2 linked regions of the Bombyx mori genome follow. The protein of the gene in region 2 interacts with the protein of the main gene of each other region in a pairwise test. Links are inferred from orthologs where the notes say so. Each region holds a gene or a part of one and is shown on either strand. Other genes may lie near its edges.

What was found. The genes of interacting proteins can lie anywhere in the genome.
Region 1: the proteins of hexokinase type 2 (region 2) and quinone oxidoreductase interact in a two-hybrid assay, tested with the Caenorhabditis elegans proteins (2 studies listed by BioGRID). The link is inferred for Bombyx mori from reciprocal best matches to the Caenorhabditis elegans genes hxk-1 and ZK829.7.

Annotation. Positions count from the first base shown.
Region 1 is NC_085107.1:1,996,444-2,000,790, forward strand, and holds the start of quinone oxidoreductase, read left to right. Parts: upstream 1-1,266; 5' UTR 1,267-1,589; intron 1,590-3,931; 5' UTR 3,932-3,967; coding exon 3,968-4,347.
Region 2 is NC_085129.1:8,961,995-8,966,542, reverse strand, and holds the start of hexokinase type 2, read left to right. Parts: upstream 1-1,623; 5' UTR 1,624-1,647; coding exon 1,648-1,740; intron 1,741-4,548.

The sequences.
Region 1 (4,347 bases), on a different chromosome or scaffold from region 2:
AATCCTCAAGATTCTTTTTTTCAACACATTTACTTCTACATGATGTATATACATCATTTATACAATTTATACATTTTCTTGTATATAAAAGATAAAATGTTTAAACTTATAAATATTTTTTAATTATTGAATTAACATGGAAGTTAACAACTGTTTTTTCGATTTAATAATTATATAAATTATGAACATTATCATTGCGCTTCATAATTTTATTATGGCTTTACCTATTTCATCATAGCGTTGTGCTTAATAATTTCACCAGCAGATAACAAACACGTCTTCATAATACAATGCTGTATGTTTTCCAAAGGCACATCAATATTACGGTTTTACATAACAATAAAACCGATATTATGTGCCGAGAAGGAAAACATACAGCATTGCAGGAAGTTCTTCCTGGTGAAGACTATGAAGATCAAAGATGGCTGCGCTCCCTTTATACTTGCTGGCAGCACCTAGCGGCTAAAGATGGAACTAAATTGACTGTCTATGGTTGGACATAGACAAGGAATCTAAGCTAAGTACACACTGTTTCTTCATAATACAATGCTGTATGTTTTCCTTCTCGGCACATAATATCGGTTTTATTGTTATGTAAAACCGTAATATTATTGATTGCGATTTTAATACATGAGCGAAAATGTCAAAATCAATCGCTAAACTTAAATAGCGGTAGCTTCAATTTTAGCTACAACATGGTTTGGAATCACGAATCGCTTTGTAAGTAAATAGAGCACGCTACTTGATTTTAGACATGAAGAATTAATTTTAAGAAAGTCGTAAATAATTTTAATTTCTTTAATGTAATTTTAATTACGACATTCACATTAACGTGAAAAATTAATGGATACATAAGAGAAAAATGAATTCCTCTTAAAAGAAAATGCTTATTCACTATCCTATATTTTCTTAGAATTTGGGTTTCACTTTAAGTGGGCCGTTAGTTTCTTATAATTTTAAAGATCTTGTCAATTGGAACAGCTTTAATATTTTGAAAATCAAGCATGTTTTGAAAAATATAGCATATTATGGTGAAGAAGTTCTGGCATGAAAACTGACATCTCAGTTTCATCCTTCTAGAATTCCAAAAATATTAACAACTGCTTAAAAAAATTAAGCTCAAGGTGTGTCTAGAAAGGATTATCTAGGGCCGAAAATTTAAAAGTGTCTCAGTAAGTTTTCAGTTTATACATGTAGCAGTTGTACGTATCGTTATCGTGAATCGACCTATGAAGAACTATGTTCATTTGAGGATAAAAAAAATTGTTTACAGACGCTGACCATGTTGAAGATTCAAAATGTACGTTAAATTAAATATATGTTAAATTAAAACAAATAGTAGGGAAAATTCGGAGCTTTGTCGTATTGCCAATATAAACACGTTCTGTTTTACGGTATTGTTTAAAATGACAAAGAATGAGTTCCTTTTTATTTGTTAAAATTGTGAAATAGATTTGTGCACGGAACGGCAGTGACGTCATGAGACTGTCATTTAATCGTGTAAATAAAATAAAACTTGTATTTAAAAATTATCCCGCGGCGACAAACGTCGCGTTGATCAGTGATTTCGTTGCTTATTGAATAATCAGGTAAAGTCGTAGAATTTCCAATTATTTGTTATTAGAGACAGCGTTTTATAAATTTTTATCTTAAAACAAATTAAAGCCACACTTTTTTTTTCCATGTGAAATATTTTTATGATATTAAATCAAAACGCGACACCGCTAGCATTGATCCTTGATTAAACATAGGTAGTCCTTTGTGTGGTGGTATTGTTTTTTTTTACATTCCTTCTGACCTTCGGACACAGGAAGGTCAGAGCGAACTTTATATACCTTTGTAATTCTAAGACGCGGACCGTGGTCAGGCAGCGGCGGTGTGATCACTGAGTGCATCATACGTGTTTATTATTGTCCTACTCTTGTTTGCTTACGAGATTCATAACATACCATGATGAATGTGCTATCACAGTTTGCTCCATACTATTTTTACTTTAATGGAAATACACACATACCAAGTGTACAGACTTCAATATTAATCTGGCGCTTGTGCCTATAACAGTAATTTTACAATTAGTAGTCCTGTGTGAATTTGTGTTGTTATAAATAAATCTTATTTGACTATATCTGTCCTTTGTTCCCACTACTGAGTTGTCTGCCCTTTGTTTGTGTCCAAATAATATGATAATGCATCTGTACACTATGATTGTCTTACATTATGGACCAACTATTAATATATAATTATGAAAACTAAATATAGTATTTCCCATTAGGAAGAAGTTATACATAAATTGCTATATCAATTATTGAGTTTCTCTTAATTGTTAAGTCAATAATTGATGGTTCTTGTTTCTTGCCAATTTGTGTACAGCTTAGTATCTTATGAATTACATGTATTTAAAAACTAATGATTCTTTTTATAACTAATACTAAAATTGTGTTATATAAACTTTAATATTCATATACTAATTTATCATACTAAAGTTCTTCTAATAATTATTTTTATAAATAATCTGAAGTGAAGTCTGGTATAACATTTGAAGCACTAAGTAATGTAAGATTAGTCATTGTGGCCCAGAAGATAACACACATGTTACATTCCTATTGAGTCACGTGACTATGCTGACGTTAAAAACCTGCGAGCGGTACCCATTTTTGTATTGAAATAACATGAATGACTTTCATGGTGAATAAATAACACTGTGAATTAAATATAGTATGTACCTCGAAAAATTTGAATTTGTGTATTTACTGATGATAGGCATCTTGTGACAGGTAAGTATGACCACTTTGCCTATTTCTGCTGCAGTAATGTGCTCTGGTTTGAAGGGTGGTGCAGCCATTTTACTCTAAAACTGACACTTTAGAACTCATGTGGTCAAGGTGGATGATGATATTTTCACTGTTGAAGTCTATAGGCCCCCGGTAATCACTTAACACCAGGTGAGCTGGGAGGTTTTTCACATGCCTTCCCTTTAAAAAATAAATCTACAAACAAACCCTAAATGTCTAATTAGAACTGATACTTGCAAGGTGAAATTGGTTAAAATTATATTTGTCTTTATTACATTGAGACCTGAATAGGCCAGAATCTGTACAATTATTTTCATTTTGAGCAATTTGCAGATGATTGCTCAATGATTCAGTGTACAGAGGTAACTTGCATGTCTTTTAATTCTTAGAGTTCCCTGCCACGTATTTCCTATGAATTATTTCTTTTGATTCAGAGTAGATGCAGATGAGTTCCATTATTTAGTAGTGTCCTGTATTAGCTACTTATAGATTATAGTCATCTGTGTTTACGGAAACATGAGGGTAAAAAGATATAAAATATAATGGTCTGAAAGCCACACCTGGTGCATTTAAATATATATTATATAGTTGCAGGCTATGTATGTAGCAGGATAATCCAGAATTGAATCAACTCATTATATTATATACCTGTAAAATCTCCCCATCAGTATTTAGAAACAAATTAAATGCAGTGTGGCAATTATGTGTTCTGTTTCGAAAGCTAGGATAGCAATTAGCCAATACAACTGCCACTTAACCTCATGTCTCTGGGTGGATAGGCTTAAACGTAGCATGTTGCCCATATCCACAGGTAATTCTATTAAGGAAGTGCTCTGGTAATTTTTATGACGATCCCAGTGTTATTCTCTTCTGTACATTTTATGTTTCCTAAGTAGGTTCTTAAAATGAATAGATACACATATTCGATTTCCCTAAATTAAAACTTAAGGTCATATTGTTAAACTAGGAATGTTTATATTATGAGTAATTGATTTGGTTTTAACAAGAAATCCATTCGAATCTCATCATAATTTTGTTATTTAAAAACAAAAAAACTATTAATTTATAGAGAATTACTTTCATAGGACATTTACAGAAATTTACATGGGTAAAATTATAATCCGATTTTTTGTTCCCAGTCACTTGAAACGGAATCATCGAGAAATAGCCGCAAGATGAGCAAATTGTGCAAACAAGTGTCGATCGAGTCTCCCGGACCGACCATAAAGGAATGTGTCTTTAGCTTTGACGTGCCAGTACCAGACGTGCCCCTCTACGGAGCTAGGATTAGAGTTGTGTACGCTGGAGCGTGTTACCGGGCTAACAGAACAAGATCGACTTCAGTGTGCAGTACTTCTTCTGTGTCTTCCATAGGCAGCTTTACTGGGGAGATGGATGGTTACGCTCATACCACGATTCCCGCCCATATCGGCATAAGAGACGGTGCGTTATTCCCTGGCTATGAAGTTGCGGGCATTATTGACGCCATAGGAAAGGCTGCCGAACGTACTGATGAACTCAAGGAAGGAGCAAGAATCGTTCTGTACCCTTACGA
Region 2 (4,548 bases):
ATACCTACCTACATAGACACATACTATACATACATACATACATACATATATTAGACATACTATTAGGTCTTTACCTACGAAATTACCGTTGATACTATAATAATAATATATTGACATACTGAAAGTAGGTCATTTTATTATTGTATTTCTATCAATATTTTTTTAACATTCTTTTTTTTCTATCAATCAAAATATGCATCCATGGTATCAATGCCTTTTTTTTAATTGATTATATGGGTGGACGAGTTCACAGTCCACCTGGTGTTAAGTGGTTACTGGAGCCCATAGATATCCACAACGTAAATGCGCCACCCACCTTGAGATATAAGTTCTAAGTCTCTTCAAACCGAAACGCATTACTGCTTCACGGCAGAAATAGGCGGGGTGTTGGTACCCACCCTCGCGGACTCACAAGAGATCCTACCACCAGTAAAACTGTCAGGGCAGACGCAATTTTTCAGCGCTCTTCTTGCAAAGTCAGTTGTACCCATTATTCAAAAGCACTTTGTACCGCCTCTCGGGTATCGAATATTTTCCCTCGAAACATGAGGTTGAGACACGAATATTTTCCCTGCCAAGAAGTTGTCAAAACTGTGTTGTGAAACAGTACAAGTCTGTCGGCGCAAGGTGTGGTGTGTACGGTGGATGACACAAACCTTCCAACCCTAGCTTTTGTAGTTTAGAGACCATCTGTTGTTTCACGGTCAAGCGTTATCGTGCAGGGGCAGTGGGGACAAGCGGTAAATTTCCGTTTTGGGCATTGCCTAGGAGCTGAACCAGGGTCTAATTAACATACTGATCCCTTAGGATTATCAAAAAGGGCCCATTTTTCATCGCATGTGACATTGCGGTTCAAGCTCCCTTCGTTTCTATGACTGTTAAGCAACGCAAGGCATATCTTCAGTTCAGAAAACAGTTTCCATGTTATTAAGTAAATTTTATTTGATGTTAGAATTTATTGTCAGCCAATACATTAAGTTTCGTACTGGCCAGGATTGTAAAACGGCAACTTATGGTAACAACTAGTTACTTATAGACCTATTATGAGGTATGCCAAAAACGGTATTACCAAACCTTCAATCCTCAGTTCAGATTTTCCTGCTATGACCTAACATAAGAATGAGTAAACTTAAGAATTATTGATACCTATTAATCATTACAATTTGCATTGGTTGTAATTTGTTTTGTGCGTCAATAATAATAATAAAAAAAAAGGTGGCCGCGACCCTCAGACATGAGAAACATAACTGGAGGAGCATTAATCATTACCCTTTAAACTATACTTTAAAATTAAAAAAAATGTATTACTTAAAATATTAAATGGTTACTTAAAATTACATACTTATAGGCAGTAATCAAGTTTTATTGAAAAAGTAATCCAGTTACAGGAACAATTTTAAGTCTAGCAAAAATATAAATCGTGCGACCACCACGACTCACCGCGTTACAGGTATATAAAAGCTTACACGAAGCAAATTTAATATGTCGTGTATGACAACAATAAAACTGTTCTATTGTATAATGCTTATAACAATTATAGCAATTCAGCGGTCGCAATTTAGATAAAGATAGCGCTGCTTTAAAGATAAGGGATGTTAATAAAGAGGCTCGATCAACAATTGTTTTGACAATTGTCACACTATTCTCATGTTGGCAGCGGTAAGAAGTACGTTCGCGGGTATCTGCTCGAAATCAAAGAAAACCAACAGTATGTGTGCCAACGATTTGATTCATTCCAGGGTAAGTAACCATCAGCTTAATAATGAATTAGTGAAGAGTTGTTACAACAGTATAAAATATCTTAAATTAAAAATGCATTTTTTTAGGTGCCCTTTAATCACAATTTTTGAAATTAAAATCAATTTCAGAAAATGAAAAGTCAATTTTACCTTCGATTCAATTCAATTTTAACATCCGTGACCCAGAGAGCTCTTTTAAAGTAGATTATCTACGATAGTTTAAGATTATCTACGATACTTTAAATCTAGATAACTGTCAATTATTTGACACCTACATAAGTAGTCACACCAATACCAAAATTTTTAAAGAAATAATGACTAACTCGTAAGACTTGGTCACGACTTCCACGCTAAAAGAATGACATTATTTAATAAAAATCAAAACCAAAAAAGCATTACATTACATTTCAGTAATTACCAGTGGTAGGACGTATTATACCTGCACGGGTTGGAACGCAAATTCCATCTTCCTGTCTATTTCTGCCGCGTAACAGTCATGGGTTTTGGTTTCATATTATTATGTATGTGGGACAGCCGCTTGACAATTTTAATAAGACTTCGAACTCATGTCTCAAGATGGATCGGCATTTACGTTGTGTTACGTTGTGACTGACTCGATGGTGCAGTAGTTAGTGGCCGTGGCTGTGCACTGAGGGTCGTTCGTTCGATTCCCACATCGGGCAAACATTCCTGTGATGAACAGATTTGCTTGGTCTCTGTCTCTGGGCGTTTATTATCTATTTATGAATTTATTTAAAGAAAGGTACATAAGTATCTATTTCAGTCTGGTACCCCTATCACAGACAATCCTAAATTAGACCGGATGACCGTGCGCGATCTGTTCCCAGTTATTATTATTATTATTATCATCTGTGGATCCCGGTAGCAACTGAACACCAAGTGGGCCGTGAACTCGTGCCATGAACAGTGCAATAAAAATATCGTAATCTTGAAACTTTCCAATAAACACATTATTATTTTACAAGTTCATCTAAGGATTAAAATTGAACTATAAAATTTGTTTGAAGATTACCGCCTCGTTCGATGTGTACTATAAAAAAAAGCGGATACGAGAAAGATAAGATAATAGTAATATTGTTTCCTATTATTGCTTTTAACAACATGTATTGTTTATAGCACCCAGAGATGGACGGATATCGAACATCTAAACAGATATTATGTGTTCGAAATACCTATTATTATCTATCTGTCTACCCATAATCCTTAGTCAGGGATATAATAAATTAGCTTCAAGAATAATTAAATCTGCAGCCAATGCATATAATATTGCAACATAATAAATAGTTATAGATTAGATAGATATCCGCTCTAATCTGACAAACGTTACGCAAGGTGGTGTCACCACTTCGATAAAGCGACACGACATGAGTACCCTCTCATCGTGGCCGCCGGTAATTACATTCCCGATCCTGCGGACAGAATGGAAGCAGTCGACGTCGCCCCAAACACGTCATTTCGGATCCTCCCGATCCACTAACGGTGTTTTTAGGTACCTCAAGCACCGGTCATCGTTCACGTCGAACCCGTCACTTGCGACGAAGGGATCGACGAGTAAATTAGCCCTCAGACACAGCCCACTGAGTTTCTCGCCGGATCTTTGCAGTGGGTCGTGTTTCCGATCTGGTGGTAGATTCTGCGAAGCACGGCTCTTGCTAGGGTTCGTGTTAACAACGTCGACAGGTTTGAGCTCACCTACTAGTTAAGGTTACGCTGAAATAGCCTCTCAAGGCTCTCAGCTTAGGTAGGGAAAAAAATGCAATCAAACTAATGTCGAATGTCTCTGGACAATGTAGGTACTCTTTTTGGCTGTAGTTCTTGCTAATAATAGTGGATCGGGAGGATCCGAAATGACGTGTTTTGGGCGACGTCGACTGCTTTGCATTCTGTCCGCAGGATCGGGAATGTAGTTGCCGGCGGCCACGACGAGAGGGTTCTAGTGCCGCTTTATCGAAGTGGTTTGATTGCGAGTGAATTAGTCACTGATGAGTAACCAATTTGTGATTGATCGCTACACATTCACTTAGCCACTGTAATACCTACGAACACTGCAAAATTCTTGATATTTATTAGTATGTTTCAACATTAATATTATTTTATGAGTCATGTATCTTTTAAGTATAGCGTCATTTTATCTTTAGATTGATTATGTTTTGATATAATTAAATATTATCCGGTCCAAAACCCTTAATCAGTAATATCGGAACATACCTATAACAATAAACGTGACTTGATGATCTAAATATCACATACCTACTGATGGTTTTATTGAATTATTCTAGCGACTCTACTATTTCCTGTGTCTAATAGGTACGTAACCAAAGCCCGTGAGCGTATAACCACTAATATATAAATTATGTTGATTAAAAAAATATAGCAGTACCTCATTTAACAAGTATTTACAAAATCAAAACAATCAGAACATTTCAATGACTTGTTCATCAGACCGTTTAAAAAATGCAACTTAAAACAATGGAGCCATTGGAATGCTAGACAAATATGAAAGTGTTAAAAACGTTGCATCAAATTTTACAATGAATAGTATTTAATATCTATTCATTATTATGTGGCTAAGGCGTATTAGTACGGCGTGATACGAGGCACGGAATGCAGATCTCGCGAGGTGAACACATGTGCACTAGTGTGATTCTCTTTGGCGTACATGCACGGAGGCACGTCACCGCGTCAGCTATCAATGACACACCCACCTTATGCTAATTAAATTCAATATGGAATGTGTCTTAAAGAGAATTATAGCCTTAAAGATCTCAAAACGAAAACCTACTTATAC